Linked DNA regions of Astyanax mexicanus. The protein of the gene in region 1 purifies or fractionates together with the protein of each later gene. This does not show direct contact. Links are inferred from orthologs where the notes say so. Each region holds a gene or a part of one and is shown on either strand. Other genes may lie near its edges.

Region 1 (7,909 bases):
TCTGATTTTGTTATTTATAGGTTTATGTTTGAGTAAAATTAACAATGTTGTTTTATTCTACAAACTACAGACAACATTTCTCCCAAATTCCAAATAAGATAAAAATATTGTCATTTAGAGCATTTATTTTTCAGAAAATGAGAAATGGCTGAAATAACAAAAAAGAGTTTTCAGAACTCAAATAATGCAAAGAAAACAAGTTCATATTTATAAAGTTTTAAGAGTTCAGAAATCAATATTTGGTGATATAACCCTGTTTTTTAATCATAGTTTTTATCATGAATCTTGGAATGTTCCCCTCCACCAGTCTTACACACTGCTTTTGGATAACTTTATGCCGCCACTCCTGGTGCAAAAATTCAAGCAGTTCAGTTTGGTTTTATGACTTTTGATCATCTTCCTCTTGATTATATTCCAGGTTTTTAAATTTGGTAAAGTCAAAGAAACATTTTTAAGTGGTCAAATTGTTTTCCAGAGCTGGATGGATCAGATATTAAAGTGAATGAAGTGTGTTTTTTTGCGCATTAAAATATATCTGGAATCTAACTTAACATATTCATTTTTAATGCAAATTAATCAAGAATTATATTTAGGGGAAACACACCATCTCTACTGTCAGTTACTCAATCTACTGTCTGAGTGAGTTTATACAGTACAGAAGATCGGTCCCATGAGTCGTGTACAACCCAGACGAGGACCATATTGAACCCTTCCTGTTCCCTATCACTATCACTGGCCACCATGAAGCCTATAGTTCACATATTGGACAAAAGGTTCTGCTTTCCAGCTGAAAAGTATGGGTATAATTTAATATGTACTACTACTAATAATAATACCACACTAAACATTATTCAGTGTTCATTATATTAAAAGCATAGCATAGCAAACACTAATCATAGCACTAATCCTCATATAAAAATAATAAGTAAATGATAATGATAACCAAAAGTAATCAGCTCAGATCTGCAGGGATGCTCTCTCTCTCTCTCTTTGTCTCTATTGTCTATTGAATTTGTCATTGTTATTGTTTGAACCAAAGATGAAACGACAAATATTCAAAGGACCTGTCACGGTCAGATACGCAGAGGACATCTGTATAATGCATTATTAAACCTGAGTTGATCAAGCTGAAGTTGATGAAGTAAATCTTTGTTTTTGATGTAGTTTATACGTTTATTTATTCATGAATTTATTCTAAATGATATTTGTAAATGCATAAGTTAACATTGCTGCACACAGTGCTGGATTATCCTCACATCCATTCGAATCGTACCATGTTTTATTCTTCAGCCGCTCGTAATAAAAACACTTAACAGTTTTGATAGCTGTTTATAATCACGTATTAAATGTGGTGTCCACTCCTATAGAATGCAATATTACAGCACTGATGATAATAATTACAGCACTGTCTGCTCACCGCTCACGGTTTGTGTTACCCGCTGCTGGATGCTGGTTGCTGGGGCTCTGAGCACTGGGTTATTCTGAACAATGCCTGGAGTTTATTGCTACACACGTGCCCTCTGGTGGTGGAAGAGCTTGATGGCATATATTTGCTTTATCTGTGTGAATAGCAGGGTATTTTGTAATAGGAGGACAGACTGTTGTTTATATTTCGAGGTACTGTAGGTCAGTACTGCTTTAGGCGTGTTGGTCTGTGCTCAGTAGAAGACAATTGACTGTATGCAGAAACATCGGAAAGAAATAAACACAAATATCACAAATATCTGCTTTTGTGTGATTTTCTTATTGAAATATGCTGTTTTTTATCATATGTGTTGATGTATGTTACAAAGAAAGAAGTGAAAATGGTAATATATATATATATATAACATTTCTCATTTTTTAATAGATTTTTTATAGATTATTATAGATTTTTATCAGTCAGTAAGTCTGTAGTTAGTGGATACTTTTGCACCCCTTACAATAGAAAAGTTCATTTAAGTATATTTTTTAAAAGTATTTTAAAAGTTTTTTTTTATTTTATTTCAACAATAAAATTAATACGTACTTAAACAGATACTAAATGTACAATTATGGAACAACGTATGGCAACTTTTATAATTTTAAGCTTAAATATTTAAATACAACATAAAAGCATTACATTGTGCTTTTGAGTGCTTTTTCATATTATGTGTTATTAAACATATTTTTTATTACACTTGAAATATAAATGTACTAAATGTAAATGCACTTTAAGCAGTATTTAATGCCAAGAGATATATTTTCCATCAGCATGTTTAATTTAAAGCACATTGCTTAAAAATACAATTCATGGAAATACAGACTTTTATGAAACTATTCATGAAAATGTACTTTTAATGTTTATACTTTTGAGTATACTCCCTTTTAAAAGGGATATTTCAAGTCTTTTCTAAGAAAAATAGAACTACTTTAAAAAATACATATTAGATGTTAGTAATTCTAAAAGTTTTAGTTAGATATCAACATTTCTCCTCTTCTGTAAATTAAGTTCTACAGGTACAGCCAATAACTGAAAATGATCTAAAATCCAGTGTGCAAAAAATGCAGTAAACTTAAAAAAAAAAAAAAAAAAACTAACTAACTGAAATTAGGGAAAAAAAAAAAAAAAAAAAAAATATATATATATATATATATATATATATATATATATATATATATATATATATATAACTATAATAATAACCATAATAATAACTAGAAAAGAAAATGATACAGAAACACAGAGAACTCTATCAAAACTATCAAAAGTTAAAGTCTTTTCTTTAGAGAAATTACAGATGAAGCCAGAGAGTGGTGAGTCCTGTTTTCTACACCTTCAAAAGACTCTTGGAAACTGAAGAAAAAACTGCTACAGGAGGACGTCTGGCTGACCCACATGGAAATATTGGACTAAGTCTCAGTTTCAGCAGTGAAGAGAAAATTTAGAGGTCTGACAGGTGAAGTGCAGAAATAAAGTCATTGTTTTTTGGGTCAAAGAGGCACTGCTACTAAAAAAAATAGAGGTCTTCAAAACCTTTATTGTTTTTTTTTATTATTTCTTTTTAGCTATTTTATCTAAATAAGTCCCTCTAGCCCAACCCTGGTATAAGACATGAATGATGCCAGTGGTTACTGTTAGTCTGCTCGAGAGAGTCCTATTCTATTGGTAGTTCTTTTATACAGGGACTAAACAAACTGTTAAATGTTAAAATTTTAACATATTTGAGCTTTTTTTTTCAGAAAAAATATAAATGTTACAATTTAACTTTGGACAGTCCCATATATAATACTTACTAAATTTCTCAATATTTTGTGTGACCACCATGATTATCTAGCACTGCCTTAACCCTCTTGATGATATCACAAAGAAATTAATAAATACAAAGGAAGAAAGAAAAAAAGACAAATACAGCACAGAAAGAAGAAAAAAGAAAGGGAGAAAGGAAAAGATTGAAAGAAAAGAGAGAAATTAATACATAAAAAAGAAAAAAGGGAAAAAAGAAAAGGGAAATGACTAAAGAAAAAGAAAAAAATGCAGCATAGAAAAAAAGTGAAAAAGAATAGACTGAAAGAAAGAAAAATGATATAGCCTAGAAAGAAAGAAAAGGCAAATGAAAGAAAGAAAGAAAGAAAGAAGTGAAATAAAATTGAAAGAACAAAGAGAGATTAACTAACTAACAAAGAAAGCAAGAAAGAAAGAAAACAAAAAATAAAAATATGAAAATAAATAACAGATATCAATAAAGAAAAAATGAAAGAATGTAACCTAAAAAGATTAATATAACCTAGAAAGAAAGAAAGAAAGAAAGAAAAATATGTCATTGAAAGAAAGAAAAATGTTGCATAGAAGGAAAGAAAAAAGGGTGAATGAAAGAAAGAAAGTAAAGAAAGGAAGGAAGAAATATAGCCTGAACTGAAAAAAGAAAGAAAGAAAGAAGTGGTGAGAAATAAAAGAGTGAAATGAAAAATGAAAAAATGGCCTAGAAAGACAGACACAAAGAAAGCATAAGAAAGAAATAAGAATATAGCCTAAAATAAAAAAGTAAATAAAGTAAAAATCATAGAGAGAAAGAAAGAGAGAAAGAAGGAGAGAAAGAAAGAAGGAAAGAGGAGCGGGGCTGCGGGTAGTTTGATGGGAGCCCGTGGCCGGGGGGTTTGGGGGGGATTGGAGGGGGGGGGGTGTTGGATCTGTCGATCTGTATGAGGGGAGGAAGTGACGCGACCGTGTCGTCAGCGCTGTGTTGATGTTGTTGGACGCTGAGCGGAGGGGAAGCTCCAGCAGTGGCGGCTCGGCGGCGGCGGAGACTTGGGCTGTTTTTGTTCTCTCCGCGGCGCTTTTTACCCACAAAAACGACGCCTTACCTTACCCGAAACCTCCAGGGAGGAGCCCTCGGTCCAGAGAAGACGGCCAGGCTGAAGCACGGGCGGCGCAGAGCTCTCCCCGAGCCGGAGGACTCGTCACCCCTGACACCCCTCCTCCTCTTCCCGCTCCCCCCTCCCTGCCCTCCGCGCACACACAGCCAACATGACGATCCTGCCCAAGAAGAAGCCGAGCTCCACGGTCGGGGTCCAGGACCACGCCGACGAGAGCGACAGGCGAGCCGGCTCCGACCCTCACCAGCACGGCCACGGCGTTGTGCGGACCGGGGCGAGGCCTAGAGCTTCACCGCCGCCGTGGTCATATCAAGCCGCGCCGCCTCAGTCCAGGGAGGACAGGCGGAATGAATCGAGCTCGCGGCCGCAGCAGGCCTCCCCTCCGCCGGTGGGAGCTGGATCCCCCGCCGGCCCGGGGGACGGAGGCGGTCTGGGCGGGATTAGCTGCGTGTCCGGCGGTCGCGGGGAGCTAGCGGGCGGCGTGGTGGGCTGTGGGGGCACTATCGGCAGCTGCTGCTCTGGGCCGGGTCTCAGCAAGCGGCGGCGGCAGGCGACCTGCTCTGGGGGAGTCGCGGGCGGGGGGACACCCGGTGTGTCCGGGGGTGGTGGTGTGGGTCCAGGCCCAGATCAGGAGGAGGGTGCCGGGTACAACAGTGAAGATGAGTACGAGAATGCTTCCAGACTCCAGTCAGAAGATCCAGCAACAGTTGAGCAGGTAAATATGCAGCGTTTGTGTATGTAAACATTAGCTAGATAGCTAGTTGGCTATCACCAAAATAAGCTAAGCTAAGGCAGCTGCAGCTGACGGTTATTTTGGCAGCTGACGGTTATTTTGGCAGTCGACTAATCTGACGATTATTTTTTTCGATTAGTCGATTAGTCAGCGACTAAATTTGCCCCCTGTTTAAAAGATTTGAATTTTGAGCATCACTTTCAAGTGGAACTTGGTTTCTCACAGCCAAACTATCAAAATACAGGTGTTTATAGTGAGATGATCATTCATTTTACAAGGATATTGTACTGCAGGGTATTGTACTATTTTTTTTCCGATTCGTCGATTAATCGGCGACTATTTCTGACATCCCCTCCATCACTGCCTCCTGTGGGCAGGGCTCCTGTTTCAACTCGTCTTTTAAATCACTTGCTGAAATCTGCACACCTGTGATTCTTACCCTGTTCTAGCAAACTAATAAATTAATATATGCAGATAAAACTCAAATATCAACCAATCAACCATTATTTTGACTCGGAGGTGCATTAAGGACAACCCTCATTTTCAGTGTAGCTGAGCATTTACAAATACAAGGACTGACATGACGAAGAAAATAACTACGTTTAGTCATATTAAAAAACAGAAACTAAAAGATAAAAATAGATGAAAAAAGAATAAAATAAATAGCATAAACAGAAAGAAACAAAGCCTAGAAAGACAGAAAGAAGAGTATACCCTGGAATTAAAGAAAGGGTGAAAGAAAGAGAAAAATATAGCATAAACAGAAAGAAACATGCAGCCAAGACAGAAAGAAAAAATAAAAAAAAACAATAATACCTACTTTAATTAAGAAATTAAGATTAAAAATGAGATTAATACAAAAAGTTAAAATTAAGCTAAAACTAACTTTTACATAGTACAATAAAAATACAAATGAATAAAGTATTAAAAAATAAGTAATTTACATAAGTAGGACTGCACAATATATTGTATCAGTGGCATGATATAAAAGAGTTAAATAACAAAAAGAAGGAGAGAGAAAGAGTGACAAGATAAGAACAAGACAGAAAAGGGTAAAACAAATGGATTGACAGATATTCAACAAACAAAAATGAATAAAGAGTTCTAGAAAGAAAGACAGAGTGAGAGAGAGGGGGGGGGTGGGAAATGAATGGACAGAAGCGAGATTGATATAAAGAAAAAATGACAGCACATCTGTGTGCATCTAAATTCAGAGTAAAATAAATATCAGGCAGATGTAGTCTCAGATATAGTTTGCGATGCATTAGCGATAATCTTTAAGACTCACCCCTAATTTGTCTTACTAAATTTTTGTTACTAAATGCTTCGTTACACCACATGGCGCTAAAACTATCACAAATCAATCCATAATTCCTGTTCTTGCTTATTTAGGAGTATTTTATTATCTTTAAAACAGATATGAAATATCGTAGAGATTTGTCTTGTAAATTACAGAATTGTAATGCCATTATTATTATTATTATTATTATTATTATTATTATTATTATGGGCAATGTATCATGATAATATCGTATCAGGAAATGCTCTTTAATTGTTCACATGTACACATTGCAATAACTATTCTGAAACAGATATATTGTGCAGCCCTGATTGAACACAGTTCTTTGGATCACCTGGTAAAGAATAACCTGATAAATGTAAAAGTGTTGAATTTTGAGCATTACCTTGAGGTGGAACCTTTAGATGGTTTCTAACAGATAAAGTATCAAAACACAGATGCTTATGATGTGTAAATGCAGACTGGAAATCCTAATTTAATGAAGACAGCAAGCATCAGCAGTGTTTTGTGGTTAATCATAGTAATAACAGAAATAAAATACTAATAATAAAGGCTTGGGAAAGCTGCTACTTGATGAACATTCATTTAAGTATATAAATATTGTTGACATTTATTTCTGTTTTTATTACTGTTAGGATATTGTACTGCAGTGATGATAAGGTATCAAACAACAAACATCTTCCCACTGCATCCGCAGTCTATATAAGCATAAAATGTTATGAGAGTTTGAGTGATTTTTTTTCTTTTATGACACGATATTAAAACTTTAAATAAAATAAACTAGCCGATATTACAGTAAACACTCTTAAACACTCTTCAACCCCACAGGTGAAGTTGCACTGTCATTAGGCCTGTCACGATAAGATTTTTTGGTAGACGATATATTGTCCCAGAAATTATTGCGATACACAATATTTTTGTCATTTGAGACAGATTTTGAAATAATGATAAAAGAATAGCATAAAAAATCAATTATACACTTTGTAAAGATGACAACATTTGAATAATTCATTTATTATAATTAGTTTGAGAAATATATACTTTATTTTTTCACCTACCTTAGTCCACACTTTGAGTATGGAGTCACAGTTATTGAAGCATGACTGGATAAAATACTGTTCACTGTTTTATATGTGAACAAACATACAAATAAACACAATACAACACAAAATACACATCTCGTCAGTCACACTGCACAGTCTGAATATATTCTGTCTAGACTTTAGAAGTTCGGCTGCTATTTTTACAGTTTCACTGAATCTTGAAGCCATAATCAAACAAAAATAAATATTTTAACAACAAAAAAAAATAATATCTAATCTATCTGCCATGAAAATCTAATTTCGTCAGTTTGGTTGCTATGTTAGTCCCCTGCTTTTTCCAGCTATGAGAAATGGTGCACCACATACATTTTCTCAACCCAGAGAAGACAAGAAAATGTTTCTCATCCCAGTCCTTAGAACTCATCTGACGGTTCCACGTTTCAGCTCTGTCCCAGGTCCCAACACACTAGGTTAGAGCGAAAATGCAGAACTGTCAGG
Region 2 (8,500 bases), on another chromosome or scaffold:
ATCTTACACAACTGGTTAATAAATGTTAAATTTTTTATAAGTATGTAGTTAATAATTCAAGGGAACTGATGAAAAAGCATTTACATTTACAACATTTACATTTTAGTCGACTAAATTGACTGTATTTTTGATGGCTATATTCTTATGATATTTTGTCGACTAAAACTAGACTACAACTAAATACATTTCAGATGACAAAATTATGACTAAAACTAAATGCCATTTTCGTTGCAAGACAAAATTAACAATGCTTCAAATTATGCTAATGCAATAGCAAAGAGACGAGAGAAAAAGATAGAGAAAGAGAGATAGAAAAAGAGAGATAAAGACAGAGAGAGAGAGAGAGAGAGACTGAAAAATGTCAACACGGCATCGCTGTGCTGATATTTTTCATTCGGAGGAAAAAATGTAATGGCTCGTTGGGTAGCTTGCAGGATTAGTGTGCATGTTAATTGGACATAAATCAGCGTTGATAAACAGCGCAACATTGTGAGCGGACGCTAATACACTCAACAGTCAAATTTGAGACTAACATGGAAAATGCGAGACAAAACGATATGCATACTTTAGAACATGGGATTGTACATATTAGCATATTAGGAGGTCAAAATGCGAGACTGTTAAGCAAAATTGGTGTTGGCAGGTCTGGATGGGGCATACAGAAATTACAATGTTACCTCTTAAAATCTACTACTCCTTACTGCTAAGGCAAACTATATAGACAAGACGTTACATTATTTCCTCAGTCAGACTAACTTGATTCGGACTCCGATGGCTTTGCGGAAGGCCTGGCTGAGTGCCTCTGTCTTGCTCATCTCCAGAGAGAAGATCTCACTCCCAGCCAAAGCAGTAAAAGGCGTATCAGATCCAAGTGACTGAGCAATGCCTGTCCAACCAAAACAAAAGACTGTCATTGATGGGTCCCACAATATCAGGTAATAGCAGCATTAATCAAAGGCAGTTTACCTAGACAGGATTTAAGCCTAGTTTTTTGACTACACTGAATCTTAAGTGAAGATTTCCCATTGAAAGGAACATGTTGTATAGGACTAGGGAAACTGACCCATATTGTATATAAAATAGGAATTACAGTGGAAACTGTCCACTTTTAATAAACAGAAAATAAGGCAATTGTTCTTAATACAAATAGTCATACCCATAGCAATAGCAGTCTTGCCAGTCCCAGGCTGGCCAGCGATGAGCACAGCACGGCCAGCAATGTGCCCATCTTTAATCATCTCCAAGATTAAACCAGCAGCCCGCCGAGATGCCAGCTGACCCACCATCCCCTGAGAAACCTGAACAGCACAGAGCAAAAAAATCCACAAAAATCATTACAAACTATCCAGTTCACAAACATAATTATTGTACATACTGGTGCAAAACACATGAAGAAAACCAGTATACGCAGACCCACCTGCCGTGGCTCCAAAGCATCGTCTAGTCCAAGGCCTCGAATGTGTGAATGTGCACCTAAAACCCCAGACAACAAAACATTTTTATCCATAGTAAAAAATAATTTGTTCTAAGCTCAAGAGAATTAACGGTTACACTACATAACACTAGACTACATATTTAGCATGCATCATGTGTGTTCTAGTCATATGTGTCCTAATGTCCATCATCATCACTCACCAATCCTCTCTATCCGGGTGATGTCTCGCACCTCGGGCACTTTCGTGGCTGCCATCTTTGACAAACAGAAAGAAAAAAAAATCATTAGGCACCAAAGCACAGAAATAAATCATTTACATGAAAAATAACCAACTGTATAAAGTCTTTATACACTTTTTACCTGTAAGCATTTTCAACTTACAAATGATGTCCATCATCATGTACCAAGGTCTGGATAGAAATAGTTTCCATTTCTATACTTTCAACATACGCATTAATTAAAGTAATTTAACTGATTTAATTTAAATTATTAATGACTAATTTAGATTACTCTAAAGTACAAAAAAGTCTATAAAGTACAATAAAAACTCCACTTCCGCTTCTGAATCAGTTTCTCTTATTTTGTTATTTATAAGTATATGTTTGAGTTAAAAAAACATTGTTGTTTTATTCTATAAACTACGGACAACATTTCTCCCAAATTCCAAATAAACATTTTGTCATTTAGAGCATTTATTTGCAGAATATGAGAAATAGCTGAAATAACAAAAAAGATGCAGAGCTTTCAGACCTCAAACAATGCAAACAAAAAAAGTTCATATTCATAAAGTTTTAAGAGTTCAGAAATCAATATTTGGTGGAATAACCGGGTTTTTATCACAGATTTCATGTATCTAGGCACGCTCTCCTCCACCAGTCTTACACGCTGCTTTGGTATAACTTTATGCCACACCTGGTGCAAAATTTTAAGTAGTTCAGCTTGTTTTGATGGCTTGTGATCTTGACTTGTGATCATCCATCTTCCTCTTGATTATATTCCAGAGGTTTTTAATTTGGTAAAATCAAAGAAACTTATCATTTTTAAGTGATCTCTTATTTTTCCAGAGCTGTGTATATGTACATGTGTATATCTATAACAAAAGACAAAATCACATTTATAGTCACTAGTTAGGTAACGTTAGTTAATTAAGCACTGCAGCGCGTGCCTCAACAGTTCATGTTGCCATAGTGACACATGAGCCACAACAGTAGCTAGCTAACTTAGTAACGTTACATACGGTTAGCACAACTAAATTAAATTACTCTTTATAAACCATAATGTAGCTACAATAATATGTTTAATATTAACAGAGAAAGTGTCAGCTAGCGTCAGTGAACCATATGCTGAGCTGTTTACTGTAATGTAAGTTATCTGTAGGATGGTCAAATTGCTAGCTTTAGCTAACTTAGCCAGCTAGCATGCTAACACCAAGCTAACTAACTGAAGCTAAATATAAATTAACTAAATAAGACGAGCCAGTTGTTAAGATCAGCTAGGGGGCAGGCACTCAGAAATGATCAGAGACCGCAGGTTAAGTGTTTAAATAGTTAGTTAGTTGTATATACAGTACAGAAGCGCAGTGAGGGGCAGGTACACACATGTGCAGGAAGCTACGCTAACCCGCTAACTCGCACTCAGATATTTACAAAAGCCCCGTCTCTCTCTACAGCAGATTTAAAGCTTTACACACATTAATACAGTTTCTATATAGACCTAGGCCATTAAATAAGAGCTAGTAGAAGAATAATAAGTCTATATTTAAAGCAGAGAATCTCGCTCTCACCTGCGCTGCCATGTTTTCTCTCTCTCTCTTTTCGCGGCCGGCGGTTTCTGAATGGGTGCGCAGCCGAAATGCGCTCGTCTAGCAAACAGATTCACTACAGTTCCTCCTCACTCGTTTACCACTCAACTCTGAACTCACACACCTGTACTGTTGATAACATTCCTACTTTAAAAACATCATGCTATTATACATATTTTCCGGTGGCTCCCAAAGTGAAAGAAGTTCACTATATATTGTTTTTTTTATTTATCTAATGTTATGCTTTACCTTTTAGCCCTTTTATTTTATTTATTTTATTAATTTCATCTTTTTATTTGTTTTGTTACTGCTTTTACTTTTGACCTTTACGTTTTTATTTTATTTTATTTTATTTATTTTCTTAATATATTTTTACTTATTATTATTATTTATTTTAGTTCCATCATTTACATTTTTATAATTGTGGTTATTTATAAAGTAAATTCCTGAGAAGGAGATTTGGTTTTGAAGAGAATGCTTACATTGAGACCACCTCTTTTATATTTCTAGTCCTTCGTCTACGTGAATTATATTTATATTGAATTATGAATATAATTATACTTTATACTATATAGTTATATTATATATTATATAATTATATCATATTTAATTAATTATATTGCTGGTTGAAGGCAATACTATTGTTCAGCACCTCAAGACAAGTTTTTACAGGTATATGTATATAATACACATTTTATCCTTTTGTATTAACATTCATTTTTAGTGTTTTTTTATTAGCTATTTCAATATTTTGTTATTTTTTTCATGTAGATTTTATCTTTTATTTTTTAAATATTATTCTCTTGTTAATTAAATCTTAATTTAATCATTTTATCCCACCACTTACTCTTCTAATATGTTTTTCTTCCTAATATTTTAATTCGTTCAATTATCTCAATTAATTTTTTTATTCTGTTGTTTTGTTCAGACAGGTTGTCAAGTTGAGGACACTGAACTGACAAAAACAAGTCCTTCTAGGCTCTAAGCTGTCTCCAACTATCAAATGCATTGCCAGTATTTGCTTGCATTGTACTCTGTCTCTGGTCATATCACTTGCTGAGACTTTTTTAGCTTAGGTAGCATCTCGCTAAAGCTGTTTCTGCTAAACCAGTTTATCTTACTGGCTAATTCCATGGCTCCACACAGCTGTGTTTGCTGTTGTGTTGAATACCTGGCAACCCAGGGTGTGGAAATAGGATTGGGGAATGGGCGGTGGGTTGGACCAGAGACTAAAACACAAAAAGATTGCTCCTTTAAAGCACAGTATTTTAGTGTAGAGGCCAGCTTTCTTCCTGCAGATTTCAACAAGGTCAAATCTAATATGCCCCATTCAGCAACTCAGGAACTTCTGAAGGAGGTAATTAGCTAAATCTAATGGAGTGAAATAGGATTGGCTGCAAAGTCTGCAGAAAGATGAGGATTTTTTATTATGGTTGGAGACCACTGGTATAGGATATAGGGTGCCATTTGTAATGTAGCGTCTGGCACCAGTAGATGGCGCTCTTGTTATTTACTTAATCTACCCTGAAGCTTGTCTCACTTTTCACACATACTTTGTACTTATTTGCTGGGGTGGTTTGTTTAGTTTGTTGATTGACTACAACAAGAATGAAGCTTTCCTTCATTTGTAACTACATAATATAATAATTATTATAAAAACAAATACAATAACTTTGTCATTTCATAAATCTTTATTTGATTTCTCCATTTGTGCACACAGAACAATGGTGCCTTGACACACACACACACACAAATCAATAGTGTACATTCTGATTATTAGCTTTCTTCATGTTTATAAAACATTATTAATATGCAGTTACATTACATTTAAGCTGACATTTGGAGCATTTGTCTATACTGTATTTATAGTATAGTATATTAAAAATATTGTATAGTATATAGTATATTAAAAATAATACAATCACTGGCTCTGAAACACACGTACATTGTCACACATGTAATTTGACAAATATCATACACAGGTATTTTCCTTAAAAAAAAAGAAAAGAAAAAGAAAGTGGATTTTTAGTGACATTAAAAAAATCTGTTCTTTTATAATGATCAAAAATATATAATTACGCAATTCTTCATCCTCTTATACTACCCTAGCACACAAACAGCTCTACAACTGGCAAATAGTGATGGCCGACTCGTACCACACCCAGAAGCCAGGAAAGACCGGCTCACTGAAGGAGGCCTTGAACTGGTGGATAAGTGACATGGACTCAGAGACATTGTAGAAGGAGAGAGTGCCTCCATCGTAGTCCAGGAAGACCCCGATGCGAGACGAGTAGGGAGCTTTAATCTCCACCTGGTCTTTGCTGTGGCGAGCCGAATAGCTGGAGTCGGAGCAGAACAGGCTCCAGGACTTGCGGTTGTAGCCAAGTCGGGCCGAATCTCCGTAGCCCGTCCTCTTGATTCCTTTGTAGGTGATGCCAAAGGAGGCTCCCTCCCCGCTCCACTCCACCTCCCAGTAATGGGCCCCTCCGGACAGGGCCTCCTTGCAGAGAACCTGAGGAAGGCAGTCAAATCTCTGGGCGCTGTCACTGTAGGACTGAGGGTCTCTCTTCAGGGCTGCTTTCCTGTTTCCTCGGGATATGTAGAGCTGTTTGTAGGCTGTGTTAGAGTCCAGAGTCAGCTGGCTGGCATCTGTTGGACAGAACAGGAGAAATCACAGCTATTTACTGCTGGAGAATTTAGCTGATTTCAGTATAATTTGGCTACAATACAAATTGGCTAATTTCAATAAAATTAGGCTGTTTAGATTTATATTGCATTAGAATTTCATGATAAATTTACCAATAGAAATGCTTTAAATAATTATGAATAAAATCTTTTACTCACTTATTCATTAAAAATCTGATATAGACTTTAAGCTGCTTTTTAGAGATACGGTACAAGTTTTTTTTGTGGCAGTGACACTAAATGTGTTTCGAGACAAAAGATTTTATGTTCTTTTGTTGAGAACAGGAAAACAGATATTTTCCTCATTTTAGATGAACTATGTAAACATCACTTGCAATTAGGGACGCAACTAAAAATATTCATACAAAAAGAGTGGAATGTGAATAACTAATAATAAATTATACTCATTTATTTGAAGTCGTATTGCAGTATGTTCTCTAGAGTTAGGGTTTTTTGAGCAGAGGTGGCAGCCCTACATACCTCCGCTATTCTTTGAATAGCACTGCTGAGGTAAATATATTACGCTATGTTGGTTTATCTGCTAGTATATTAAAGTGTTAAATATTCAATAAATACTTTTAAATTGTAGTTTTGACAAAAATATCTGCAGGCTAAATATCTGCAGGCTATGAAACATACTTAATGTTGAAATTGATAAATAGTAGTATAAGCGATTTGCTTGGGAAATCACTTTTGGGAAATATCTAAAGAATCCAGTTATAGAGTAAGAAATTATTATCTGGACCTACATACAGAATTTTACAGGCATTGACATTAATAATCATACCATATAACAGGACTGAATACACCATTGTGTTAATTAATGTATGAATCTTGATCTATGTACAAACATTAAGTGAGTTATAGCTCTATAAAGGATTCTGTGTCTCTAAACAGTTTTATAAATATTATTAATACCAAGCTCCACATAGACATGGATTAAGTTAAAACATGGATGCCTCTATGTTAACCCACACTTAAGCATTTCACAACTGAGAAAAGAAAACAACGATAAATCCCCACTTTCAAGTGTTTCAAGACGAGAAAGACCCGAGATAACAGACCCTGAAGGTAAAGACTACCCTTAAAATAGGAGTGGTGACCTGAGATCATTTTTTTTTCATTATTGTTAAATGATTTCAGATGATTACAGACAGAAAGAGAGCTGATACAGTAAAAGTTAATGAGTACAGGCCCAGCCCACAGACAGCAGGTGAAGTGTATAGAGTCTGCCCACCTCATCGGCTCTCAAAGCTGGTTGTACATTAGGTGGTGGTGGCTGCCAGATGAACCACGGGGCCGTCTCTGATCTAGAGGGCCGAGAGTGGCAATATACACTTTAGACTGACTGCACATTTATGGCAGCTACAATGGAATATATGAATAGTGGTAAATTTGCTGCATTTGTCAGATATGAGTAAATTTACACAAAAATACATGCCAAAAGTAATAGGACAGAAAATAGTATCATGTCCCATGACTTTTGCCATGTGTCATAGAAGCTAAAGAACGCTGAACAAACCTGCAGTATATGTGTATGTGGGGGGTCTGCTGTATTGAATATGGATGCGATTCCTGCTAGAGTTGCTTCTTTTGTTTCATCTATTGTGAATAAAATATTCTAGCTGGTAACGATCATTAACACCTACTGAACTGTCCACTGTGGGAGGTAATGCCTTCTATTACAAATTCCCAACACAAGCATGACACTGTAAGTTATGGAATCTTCAATGCCACCCACTATCAGGCCAAATTTTTGGCATGTCAGTATATCATTTTTCAGTCTGTTTATAAGTGTAATCTTTGGGGATAGGCCGAGCTACACGCAATACTGGTGGCTTAAAGGAGAAATCCAGTGTGACATGGACTTGGGTTGTATTGAAAAATGATAATGAGTACCCCTAGCATTCTGAAATACACAGCTTTTAGCAGATGCTCCCAACAGGCTTTCAATACTAAAATAATATGAGAGAGACATAATGTTACCCATGCAAAGAAATTGCCATTTTTACACCATTAGCAATCTCAATGTTGCTCCAAACGTCATTAGTGCAAATCCAAGAGCCCTGACATTTAAAACATGGCACTGAGAGCCTTGAAAGTGCACAGATTATTCCTTATGTTTTTTTTCTAATTTATATCCCATTTTCTCCCTAATTTACAAGACCAATTACCAAACCTATTCATTGACACTCCCTAGTAATCACTAGTAATGCCCCAATACCAGGATGGTGAAGACTAGCACCTGCCTCCTCCGATATATGTGAAGTCAGACTCTGTCTCTTTTTGAGCTGCTGCTGATGTAGGTTAAGGAAAAAGGCCAATTGTTCTAATGGCAAGCTGCATGATTGGGATTCGAACCAGCGATCTCTCGATCATAGTGGCAGCGCATTCCTTACATTTCTATAGAACTTGCAACTTCTGCATGTCCAGAGATGCGACAAATTCAAACTCACATACAAATAAAAACCTGTAAAGTTGGTATTTGGTATTCTGCCTTAGTTGTTGGTTTCAATCAAGCATATTTTTTGGTGGCCTTCTTAGAAAAATCTAAAATTGTTACAGATTTTTAGCATTCA

Evidence for each region. Proteins that work in one complex are often made in the same cells at the same time.
Region 2: the proteins of otud5a (region 1) and ruvbl2 purify together in Homo sapiens (affinity purification with mass spectrometry, with the first as the bait; 3 studies listed by BioGRID). This does not show direct contact. The link is inferred for Astyanax mexicanus from reciprocal best matches to the Homo sapiens genes OTUD5 and RUVBL2.

What each region holds. Positions count from the first base shown.
Region 1 is NC_064419.1:3,684,209-3,692,117, reverse strand, and holds the start of otud5a (OTU domain-containing protein 5-A), read left to right. Parts: upstream 1-4,190; 5' UTR 4,191-4,486; coding exon 4,487-5,050; intron 5,051-7,909. UniProt on the Homo sapiens protein: Deubiquitinating enzyme that functions as a negative regulator of the innate immune system. Has peptidase activity towards 'Lys-48'- and 'Lys-63'-linked polyubiquitin chains. Can also cleave 'Lys-11'-linked ubiquitin chains (in vitro).
Region 2 is NC_064408.1:15,128,641-15,137,140, forward strand, and holds the start of ruvbl2 (ruvB-like 2), read right to left. Parts: upstream 3,349-8,500; 5' UTR 3,231-3,348; coding exon 3,219-3,230; intron 1,691-3,218; coding exon 1,636-1,690; intron 1,474-1,635; coding exon 1,418-1,473; intron 1,299-1,417; coding exon 1,157-1,298; intron 887-1,156; coding exon 757-886; intron 1-756. Other genes in the region: ftr83 (finTRIM family, member 83), read right to left, coding at 5,359-5,885. UniProt on the Homo sapiens protein: Possesses single-stranded DNA-stimulated ATPase and ATP-dependent DNA helicase (5' to 3') activity; hexamerization is thought to be critical for ATP hydrolysis and adjacent subunits in the ring-like structure contribute to the ATPase activity.